Saccharomyces cerevisiae S288C: one gene and its partners. The gene in region 2 interacts genetically with the main gene of each other region. Each region holds a gene or a part of one and is shown on either strand. Other genes may lie near its edges.

Region 1 (2,819 bases), on a different chromosome or scaffold from region 2:
GTGTTCAGTATTACACGGGGCAATATTTCGATATTGGCCGAATCACCTCATTTGCCCACCAATTCCCCGACATATTGGTTGGATGGGATTTAGCACACGCTGTAGGGAACGTCCCATTGCAACTTCATGATTGGGGTGTTGACTTTGCCTGTTGGTGTTCTTACAAGTACTTGAATGCCGGGCCTGGTGGAATTGGTGGCTTATTTGTCCACTCGAAGCATACTAAACCAGACCCTGCTAAGGAAAGTTTGCCAAGATTAGCTGGTTGGTGGGGCAATGATCCTGCTAAGCGATTTCAAATGCTGGAAGTATTCGAGCCGATTCCAGGAGCATTGGGATTCAGGCAATCTAATCCAAGCGTTATTGACACAGTGGCATTGAGAAGTTCATTGGAATTATTTGCGAAGTTTAATGGTATTAATGAAGTTCGTAAAAGATCGTTGTTGCTGACGAACTATATGACGGAACTGTTGGAAGCCTCCAAGTATTACAAACACCCTTTAAGGATCGAGAAATTACCATGTTTTTTTACAATATTAACTCCAACAAGCACAGATGAAGAACATGGCGCCCAATTGTCACTTTACTTCGATTCTGACACTGGAAAAGAGGATATTATGCCCAAAGTTTTCCAATATTTGCATGACCATGGTGTCATTGGCGATGCAAGAAGACCAAACGTAATTAGATTGGCTCCTGCTCCCTTATATAATACATTTTCAGATGTATACATTGCGGTGAATGCACTAAATGAGGCGATGGATAAGTTGTAGTCCTAGAGTGACCGCATCGCCTTCATCTTCTTTTGGATATTATATATGACGTAGTTTGAAATTCGTATACTTACTGATAGCGAACCTATAAATTTATACTTTCTTTCCAAGAATTAAAATAAATATCTGGGCCCGTGTATTACTTACCAGTTGCCGTGCATAGTCGTGAATCTTCTTTCATTTATCAACCTTCTTCCAATAATGAAGCTAACTTATCAGTGGTAGTACTGTTGAACGAAACAAGCCGGAACTCAAAAGGGTAATTTCGTGAAAAACAATCATCTACGGTATAAATAACAATTTAATTTACGTCTCTTTCGAAAATGCTCGTGTAGCTCAGTGGTTAGAGCTTCGTGCTTATAGCAACATTCGGTTTCCGAAGTTTCTGTGCCAAAGACCTTTCAAACAGGCCTTTAAAAGCAACGCGACCGTCGTGGGTTCAATCCCCACCTCGAGCACTTTCTCTTTTTTTTTTAAAAAAAGTTGCATTATTTCTATCAACTGTTGTAGCTACGTTACACCTAATTTTGTATTGTAGACTGTTAGATAATCCACATATACAGGTAAATACGGCACATTGTCTTCTAAACATCGCATTAAAGATGTCTTCCACCGTCGATTCAAGGGTCATTCAATACGGGTAATACTGCTTCCATTGGGCCCTTCCAAATGAAACAAGATACGGGAAAAAGTGATAAAAAAAAGCAAACAAGGTTGATTGATCGATGATAGACGCGATTCTTGGAAAAGGCAAGAGCAGCGTTTTGATAAATAGGTTCCAGGTGTACCGAGATATACTGATTATCCTTCTCTGTCATTCTTCACTTTTTGCAATAGGTTTCCTTTGTCGCAAAAAATTATATTCGTTATTTATTATACTATTCTATTTTCCTGAGGAGATAGGTTAACAAACGAATTAGAGAAGCAAAACTTATAAAACAAGAAATAAACGTATTAGCTCTTCCACAAAATGCAAACGCTAAAGTGTGTTGTTGTCGGTGATGGTGCTGTTGGGAAAACGTGCCTTCTAATCTCCTATACAACGAATCAATTTCCAGCCGACTATGTTCCAACAGTGTTCGATAACTATGCGGTGACTGTGATGATTGGTGATGAACCATATACGTTAGGTTTGTTTGATACGGCCGGTCAAGAAGATTACGATCGATTGAGACCCTTGTCATATCCTTCTACTGATGTATTTTTGGTTTGTTTCAGTGTTATTTCCCCACCCTCTTTTGAAAACGTTAAAGAAAAATGGTTCCCTGAAGTACATCACCATTGTCCAGGTGTACCATGCCTGGTCGTCGGTACGCAGATTGATCTAAGGGATGACAAGGTAATCATCGAGAAGTTGCAAAGACAAAGATTACGTCCGATTACATCAGAACAAGGTTCCAGGTTAGCAAGAGAACTGAAAGCAGTAAAATATGTCGAGTGTTCGGCACTAACACAACGCGGTTTGAAGAATGTATTCGATGAAGCTATCGTGGCCGCCTTGGAGCCTCCTGTTATCAAGAAAAGTAAAAAATGTGCAATTTTGTAGTCATATTAGTATATGCCCATCTTTTCTTAATCTATATCTAAAATTAACTTATATATACACCTTCCTATCCTTTTATTATCGTTGTATTTCATTTTTTCGCTTTGCTCAGAGTTGATTCTCTTTGTTTCTTGCGCCAGGATCATCCGTCTGTTCAAGGCGGAGTAGTGCAAAAAAGTCGAGCCGTCAAGCCCCAAACGTTCAATACTTCCATGTTCTTCAACGCTAAACGCGACATTTGCGAGTCCTACCACGTCTTCTCCGTTTACGGGCAAAAACACCTCTTAACATCAAAAATTTGGCTTTCGTGCTTTTTTCTGAAATATATTCGTTGCATAGACACGGTATGCATATGAAACATTCAGGCTAGCAATCAATACTTAAACCCTTTACGGGCGTGCATGATGTATCAGGAAACCAGTTTGAGAATGTCGCCCACCAAGCTCCATGGAAAGGCGCAAACCAATTACGCGGAACACAAAAATGGGCCTTTTTTTGATCGC
Region 2 (5,171 bases):
GGGTCAGCACAAGCTGACAATGTGGAACCACCATGTCCTTCCACCACTACCGTCTCACCATTATCTTCCCATGATATCGTAGCACCTTTCAATTCATGAACAGCGGTTAACATATGTTTAGTATCATCAGAATGTAATAAGTTCTTGATTTTACATTGACCTTCACCGAGGGCAGCAAGAATTAAAGCACGATTGGAGATGGACTTAGAACCAGGGGGGATAACAACTTTCTGTTGATCAGCAGGGATGTCCTTGAAGGGGTAAACGAGGGTTTCATCTGTTAGAATAAATCTCAGGTCTTCATCGCTAACAAATTGAGCGGAGTCACCATAGCACTTACCAATACTTTCTAAAATGACCACCTTCTTTTTGGAACCCTCGTTTTTCTTGTCAATACTCATTTTCTTCAATAAGATATCCAATGGTGTTTTCTTATGTAAGGTTAGCTCTTTAAACCATTTCTCATCAGGCGAAACAGGCAACCCGTAGGCAACCAAAATCTTGGATAGACGTGCAACTTGGGTAGGGGAGAGAATACCGAAATAACGGGATAATTCCGCCTCTTTAACCATACCAATGGACACACATTCACCATGTAATGCTTGTGGGGTTAGTATAGCTTCATAAGCATGACCAATAGAATGTCCGAAGTTCAAAAGGTTTCTTAGACTGGATTCACGTTCATCCGAAGAGACAACTTCCGCTTTGACCTTAATACTCTCAAGAACTAACTTATATGTATGATCCAACATAGCTTCAATATCTGTATTCGATATCTCGTCAATCTCGTTTGTCAATTGATTGGTAACCTTGACATTTTTTGCCCCATTAACAACATTTAAGAACAACGAAGCGTTTGATTCTAATCTAGTAAATTCGTCAGCGTTCCAAATACAAGCAGTCTTGATAACTTCTGCCATCCCATTGATAAACTCTCTCTTGGCTAACGTTTCTAGCCATTTAATATCTACAAGGACAAATTTTGGTTGCCAAAATGCACCAATAAAGTTTTTACCTAGAGGAGTGTCAATAGCAGTTTTACCACCAATGGAGGAATCGACCATTGCCAATAAGGATGTTGGTACTTGGACAACACGAACACCTCTCATAAATGTAGATGCAACGAACCCAATCATGTCACCAATAACACCACCACCGATCGCTACCATAACCGTATCACGAGTACATCCTTCCACTAAAAGATAATCTTCTAGCTGCGCTTTGGTTTCTCTACTTTTACTTGTCTCACCTGGTTTAACAACATAAGTAAGTAAACGAGAGCCTTCTGGCAAAGAAGCCTTGAATTCCAGGACTAATTGCTGGTAGTATGGAACTTTACTCAAGTTCGTATCATTGCAAATAACGTATGTCGAAGAAGGACAATGTTTAATTATGGTTTCAACCAAATGGTCATGAATGTTATACCCAACGTGGATAATATCATTTCCTAGAATTGGGACTTTGGCTAACTGCACCATCGTAATATACAATTATCTTACGTAGGGATTTCTCAACTAGGAGATTATATAAACTTGAACGACCGAGTATAGCTGTGATCTGTTACTAATGGTTACGAGTCGGCGTCCTACCTTCTATATTAATAAACCGCTTGTATAATGAATTTGTTCGACATTTGCGGTTAGAATCTATGGCGGTGAGAAAAAACCGAGTGAAAAAAAATTTCATGTTCGGGATGAGTCATATGCATGACAATTTACTATATTAAATCTGTGAGATTGGCCAGGAAGGTACCTTTGTCATATATATTGGGAATTTCGGACGCGTCTTTAATCGTGATGTAGTGTGTAAGGTTGTAGTGCTTATGGTCGTAGGCATTCGTGCTATAAAACGTAACATGTTGATCTTGGAGTGGTTCAGCAGCGTCATCTTTTTGTTCTGTGCATTTGAAAAACCAAGATGGGCAATCATCATCCAATGATCTCACCAGTTTTCCTTCTCTCATATACTCTTGAATGGTATACCATTTATCTTGCTCATTTGTAGTCATTCCCTCCTTTACAATGGCCAATTGAAGATACGTGAAAATAGCGCAGATGATAGTGAAGCATCCACATAATATGGTAAGAGTCAGAACAGCTCTAGGGAGCGTACTTGTGCTATTTAAAGAAATGTACCACAGCCTTAGAAAGGCGTAGCACATCGAGAATATGTTGGAAATTAGGAAAAGGTAGAATTGAAGGTAGTTTCCCTTTCCGATGCAGTTATTTATCCAGATGCAATGATGGTCGGCGACGAGAACGCATCGGTTGCAAATGCTACAATGTTTGGATCTAGCAGGCTTGACGATCCGGCATGTCGAACACTTTATGGCAGGATAATACAATAGGTAATCATATGGATATTCCTCTGTCGAGCCTGATTTATGATCCTTTGAATCCTCAGCTCTGCTTACCATGGCTAGAATTCCTAATGCTACCGGCGGTAGTATAATTATAGGCACGATCAGTATTCGTTCTAAAAGGAATAGCTCATTCTTAATCGTAGACTCCACTCTCATGTGGTATGTATATACTAGGTACAGGTAAATAGAGGTGTAGAAAAGAGGTACTAAATGCAACTTCCAACGATATTTTTGGTCATCCACTAGGAAGGGCTGAAACACATTACGATAGAAAGTCGAAAATGGCCATGTTGACTTGAAGACGGGCGAAAGTAATATCAAAACTACGAATCCTATTAGCAGCACAAATAGTAGATTCCATGACATTGTTTGTTCTTTTCATGTTAGGAGACAAAGATATCTTCTTTGGAGGCATAATGAAGTTTTTTTTAGGAAGGCGGAAGTATATATACAATGACACTACCTTTGTTGATAGCTACGAATTTCCTAAAGAGAAAGTATATTGTAGTATTTATATGAGTTGCATAGTACGTTATTCAAGGATAAAATGCCGAATAAATGCTTTAGATGATTTAAAATTCTGTATCGGATGGTTTTAATTAAAAAGTTTCGTTGGAGGTTTTCACCTCATTTTTGAAAAATAAAAATTCAGACCAAAACATTAATTATTTTGGCTTTGAATATACTGACCTCCTGGAAAGCCCTTGGACATTACTAAAATTGAGACAACTGTTTCGATTCCAGCTTAGAACTCCACAGAGCTTCACATGTTTTACACCTCTATTTATATATTCTGACAGTTTCCTTATGCCTTTCCAGTTTAAGGATGAGCGAATGAAAAATGCTTTTAATAAAGAGGTACTTGATGGACCCTGAAAGTTTAAGGAGGCAGATAATGAATGTATATAAATGTTACATGTGGAAGAGAGCGTTCCACAGTAATAGAAGCCTACTGGAAGTTAAACGTCGTGAAAAGAGTCTCCAGAGAAAAATTTTGGAAAGGATTCTTAGACCCAAGGAGGAAAATGCTGTCAAAAAATCTGGATTCAAGCTATGGTCAAGCCATTTGAATAACCCACACAAAACTTATATGCGGCTGGAGGAATTACAGAGACGTATTATGGAAGAGGTACACGTTGAAGGTATTAAAAAGAATGATAAGTTATTCAACGAAATAAATCAATGGCATTTCCAAAATGAAAACACAAGTACTGTTCGAACACCAACATTGCTGATACATGGCTATGCCGCATCTTCAATGTCTTTTTTCAGAAATTATCCAGGTCTGTCCAAGCACATCCGAAATTTATACTCAATTGACATGCCAGCGAGCGGATTGTCTTCAGTACCGTCTTTAGAGATCAATACAACAACACCTCTGCCGTTAGATATCAAATTTATTGGAGAAAATAAATTTAAGGTTCCATATACAATAAATGCAAATCACAATAAATTTGTGATTCAAATGTACGAAGATTTCTATCTCGACAGAATCGAGCAATGGCGCATTGATAACAAATTGGGCAAAATGAATGTTGTGGGGCATTCTTTTGGCGGATATTTATCTTTTAAATATGCTGTTAAATATCCAAACTCGGTAAACAAACTTTGCTTGGTATCCCCACTAGGAGTGGAAAGGAATATCTGGTCTGTAAATAATAATTTCCACTCCAACACTCTTTATACTATCGATTTTAAAAATCCAAATTCCAAGTTTTACTCCAAAAGAAATATGATTCCAAAATACTTATTTGAACAACAATTTCACATTTTGAGAATGATGGGACCATTAGGAGCTAAGTTATGTTGGAATTACATAATGGCGGCATATAGCCGAGTCCCATCGTTGGCATACAAAGAGTACATATTTGAACTGTTTTACGGTAAGGGAGGTATACCGGAGGTTACGACAGATATTTTCAAAGCGTTATTTTCAAGATGTATCCTAGCAAAGGACCCCTTGATGGATTCTCTGCAATATTTAAATGTTAAGAAATTATTGATAGTATATGGGCAATATGATTGGATGAATAAAAAAGCCGGTATGTTCATGGTCAAAGAGTTGAACAATTTAAAGAACTGTCTAGAAGGAGCAAGTTATTTAGAAATACCTTCTTCCGGTCACAATCTTTTTTTAGATAACCCAGAATCATTCAACCAATCTATAGTGTCCTTCTTATCAGACGAAACTAAATCGCCTTGATAGCAACCAAATCAAGTAGCAAAGAGCCAAAAAATGTGTTAATGTATGCTATCCCCCTTTTTGCTTTTGCGCTCCTCACACCTCTTTTCTTTGCTTTGAAATTTTTCTCAAATAAAATCTTTACAATCATCGCTACTAGTTAATTCATCCAATTTAGTGAGGAATAACGGATCAAATTCCACTAAATTTTCTAATCGAGATATGCTATTCGAATAATCCTCCGATACAGGGTCTTTCGGATATTCCCTGGGGAAATACTCTGTGTCACTTTCTTTTGAAGGAAGGATCATCGAGGGTGAAGAATCGCTTCCACTTGACTGTTGTAACAAATCTTTTTCTACCTTAACCATTTTATTTACATCAAATCGACGACTATGGTATGATTTTTTCTGTTTTTGGGCTAGGTCATTTAAATCATCAAGTGATATGGTCTTCTGCTTGAAATCTTTGTTGCACAAGCATTTCGCAATTTCGAAAACATTTTTCATGATTACTTTCTTCACAGTTTCTTTCTTAAAAATGGTCATTGCGGCGGTCACTCCTGTAAGCTCGTCCAAAATCTCAAGGCTGAAGGGAGATTGCGGTAGAACATTCATAATTATCGTG
Region 3 (3,034 bases), on a different chromosome or scaffold from region 2:
GGGTATTTACATTGCTGATATAGAACTCAACTACCCAGTAAGATCTTTCTATGGAACAAAATCTTTTGTATTAACCACAAACAGTATTATCGGTGCTGGAAACGAGGCATTAGGGATTGTTTATTTGATTGTTGCCGGGATTGCAACTCTTTTCGCCATACTATTCCTGATAAAAGTCATCTTCAAACCAAGACCTATGCATGATCATAGCTACCTAAATTTTGAGAACAGCGATACCCCATTCGATGAGAGTAGTGTCGTTAGTATTCCATTGAGAGAAATTTTATGATTGATTATCATTTACTATAAAATCCCTGCGTTTGATTCGGTCTCTAGGGAAGCGTTGTAATTTCATGTATATTCAAAATAAGGACGAGGTTATATACCATACTATATTATCTCCTTGCATTCTGTATCAAACACTTTATTCAGTACATATACGATACCTATATATTCATTAAATGTTCTTTTCGCTTTATTTCAGCAAGGTATAGTGCTATTTAAAATCCATAATCGTTATTGCGTCTCTTTAGTCTGTCCTTCATTGCCATTACTCCACTACTTGCGTCTGGTGGCGGCGTTGGCGTGCTGGAGGTGTTGAAACTGTTCGACGTTTTACTTCGACCGAGACTTGCCCTGAATTCTTGGCCTGCTGAAGGTCTAGTCGGCCGTGATGAAGCTCTTCTCGGTGTCGCGCTAGAGGAGCTTGTATGATTATTGTATATATCTTGAAACGATTTACTCGCAGGCGTGTACTCCGGTGTGTTCCCGTTTGAAGAAGGTGTACCCATAGGATCTTCTGAAGAAGCCTTCCTTCTGTTAGAAAAGGATGGCGAGAAATGACGCGAGTTTTGCTTCTTCATATCATGCTTCACTTGAGTATCTAATATTTTACGTTCGTTCGGTAAATCTTCCTTCTCCCCCAACCATCCTGGGAACCCCTGGAAAGGATGCTGATTTTCATAGAATTTCACAAGCCCTTTATGGACCAATGTAGTATTTACAGTATCACCATCTTTTTCTGCTTTAATGGATAAATGTGCCAACGATGTAGATAACGATTTGGTTGACGACTTAAACTTGTTCCAAAATCGCCCGGATCCTTCTTGGGAATGCGATACTTGACTCATCATATGCGTGAAATCTTAGTTATACTGGTAGTTGGTATTAGGGCCTAGCGTCTAATAGTTAGTTGGCGTTTTATTTTTTTGCACCTTTCCTAATAGTATTAATCTCTAAAAGTGAAAAACTCCTAAGAGTCTTTACGAGCTCATTTAATACGTTCTGATCAGAAGCAAGACTATAAAATGCAATAGCCAATACTTTTTAGACTAAAGGTAGACGACTTACTAGCGGTTCAAGCTTCAGGAACTACACTCTCAATTACGTTCTAGTCCATTTTGTCCCTCTTTCCGGTTTTTTTTTTTTTACGTTTCCTTATGAAAGTATAAGTAATACTAAAGAAAGATTTATAAAGTGCCGTTACTGTTACGTATGATAAACCTTTTGATACATTTCTTCTTATTTAAGCCACTGTCTTTTCCTTTAGATAGATGCCGTACTTGTCCTTTAGTTCTTTCATGATTGGATCATTAATCTCTGGTGAGTATGGCGCTAGTAAGCCTGGTCCCTTGATTGTACCATCTAAGACGAATTTCGTTGCAATGGCAACTGGATAACCAACAGTAGCGGCCATAGAACTGTAACCACCAACCTTACCATAGTCAACTAAAGTGGATGTTCTTGTTTCGGTAGTTCCATCAGCCCATTCAATACCGAATTTGTGTTGTAGTACAACCATATCTCTTTCATTGTCTTCATATTGCATTAGTTCTTCTAAACGTGCACATAGAGTGTCTAAAGCATTACCTCTTGGTGTGATCTTTGCGTCAGAGAACAAGCCTAACCAAGCAAACCCGGAAAGGATTCTTTCTCTATCTTCATCATCTTTCCAAGTAGCCTTTGAGTCAATGGAAGCAATCAAATCTTCTTTAGAAGTAGACTTGGCACCTAAATATTGTTTTAGTGCTTCGTTCCAGGCAATTGGCTTGCTGAAGATTTCGTTAGCATCATCCTTCAACATACCCATGTCAACTAAAGCCTTAACAAATTCTGGGAAACCTTGATATCTCAAAGTACCTCTAATGACCGTTTCGGCTTCTGGAATATGATAAAGATCCTTGAAAAGGGTAGAGTCTCTATTTGGGTAGCAAACGAATGCATAACCTGGGTAGATGAAGTAAGGCTTAGCAGTGGCCATTAAGTCTTCGGAAGAAACAGTTTCAATCTTTCCGTCTTTCCAGTATTTAGCAGAGTTTCTTAAAGCCAGTAGCACACCTCTGGAGGACCATGAAAATTTGTATCCTAATGGATTATCAGAGTCTTCAGGAGCTGGTAAACCACCACAGTATGACAAGAATGACTTTAGCTTACCACCAGCTCTGTGAACTTCATCAATAGTCTTGACCGCATACAAGTGGTCGATACCTGGATCCAACCCAATTTCGTTCATAACTGTAATACCTGCCTTTACGATTTCTGGTTCCAATTCTCTTAAGGCAGGTGAGATGTAAGAGGAAGTGACGACATCGGTCTTTGTTCTGATGGCGCTCTTTACCACATTTGGATGGAAGGTGTATGGAATCAAAGAGATGACAACATCGTTATCAGCCAGAACTTTGTCTAAGGCACTGTCATCGGTAACATCCAATGAAATAGCCTTGGATCCAGAGGGCTTGGCCAATGCTTGCGCATTGGCTAATGTTCTACATGCGACAGTGACATTGATGTCATCATTAGCAGCCAATGTGTCGATAACAGGTTGTGCAACAAAACCAGATCCTAGCAACAAAACGTTCTTTCCCATATTAAAATATATAATACGTTAATATAACTCAATTGTCCTGATAAGTTTTCCCTACTGCCTAAGGATCCTTCCCATGTAATTTTACCAGGACCCTACGGTTTATATACCATTAAGCCAAATTCTGTGCTACTTTCTATCATCTATTGCTGATAATTCCATTGGAAATTC

The links.
Region 1: mutations in SWF1 (region 2) and CDC42 are lethal when combined (synthetic lethality), as found in Saccharomyces cerevisiae (5 studies listed by BioGRID, with this or other methods).
Region 3: mutations in SWF1 (region 2) and MSO1 together harm fitness more than expected from each alone (negative genetic interaction), as found in Saccharomyces cerevisiae (4 studies listed by BioGRID, with this or other methods).

The regions. Positions count from the first base shown.
Region 1 is NC_001144.5:603,712-606,530, reverse strand, and holds CDC42 (Rho family GTPase CDC42), read left to right. Parts: upstream 1-1,743; coding exon 1,744-2,319; downstream 2,320-2,819. Other genes in the region: BNA5 (kynureninase), read left to right, coding at 1-773. UniProt on the Saccharomyces cerevisiae protein: Involved in development of cell polarity during the cell division cycle, and essential for bud emergence. Affects signaling in the pheromone-response pathway through the STE20 protein kinase.
Region 2 is NC_001136.10:700,791-705,961, reverse strand, and holds SWF1 (palmitoyltransferase SWF1), read right to left. Parts: upstream 2,729-5,171; coding exon 1,718-2,728; downstream 1-1,717. Other genes in the region: ARO1 (pentafunctional protein ARO1p), read right to left, coding at 1-1,478; ECM18 (alpha/beta hydrolase family protein), read left to right, coding at 3,204-4,565; YDR124W (uncharacterized protein), read right to left, coding at 4,673-5,171. UniProt on the Saccharomyces cerevisiae protein: Palmitoyltransferase that targets several endosomal SNAREs. Palmitoylates the SNAREs SNC1, SNC2, SYN8 and TLG1, at cysteine residues close to the cytoplasmic end of their transmembrane domain.
Region 3 is NC_001146.8:712,523-715,556, forward strand, and holds MSO1 (Mso1p), read right to left. Parts: upstream 1,134-3,034; coding exon 501-1,133; downstream 1-500. Other genes in the region: YNR048W (putative aminophospholipid translocase regulatory protein), read left to right, coding at 1-289; LYS9 (saccharopine dehydrogenase (NADP+, L-glutamate-forming)), read right to left, coding at 1,526-2,866. UniProt on the Saccharomyces cerevisiae protein: Involved in secretion. Component of the secretory vesicle docking complex.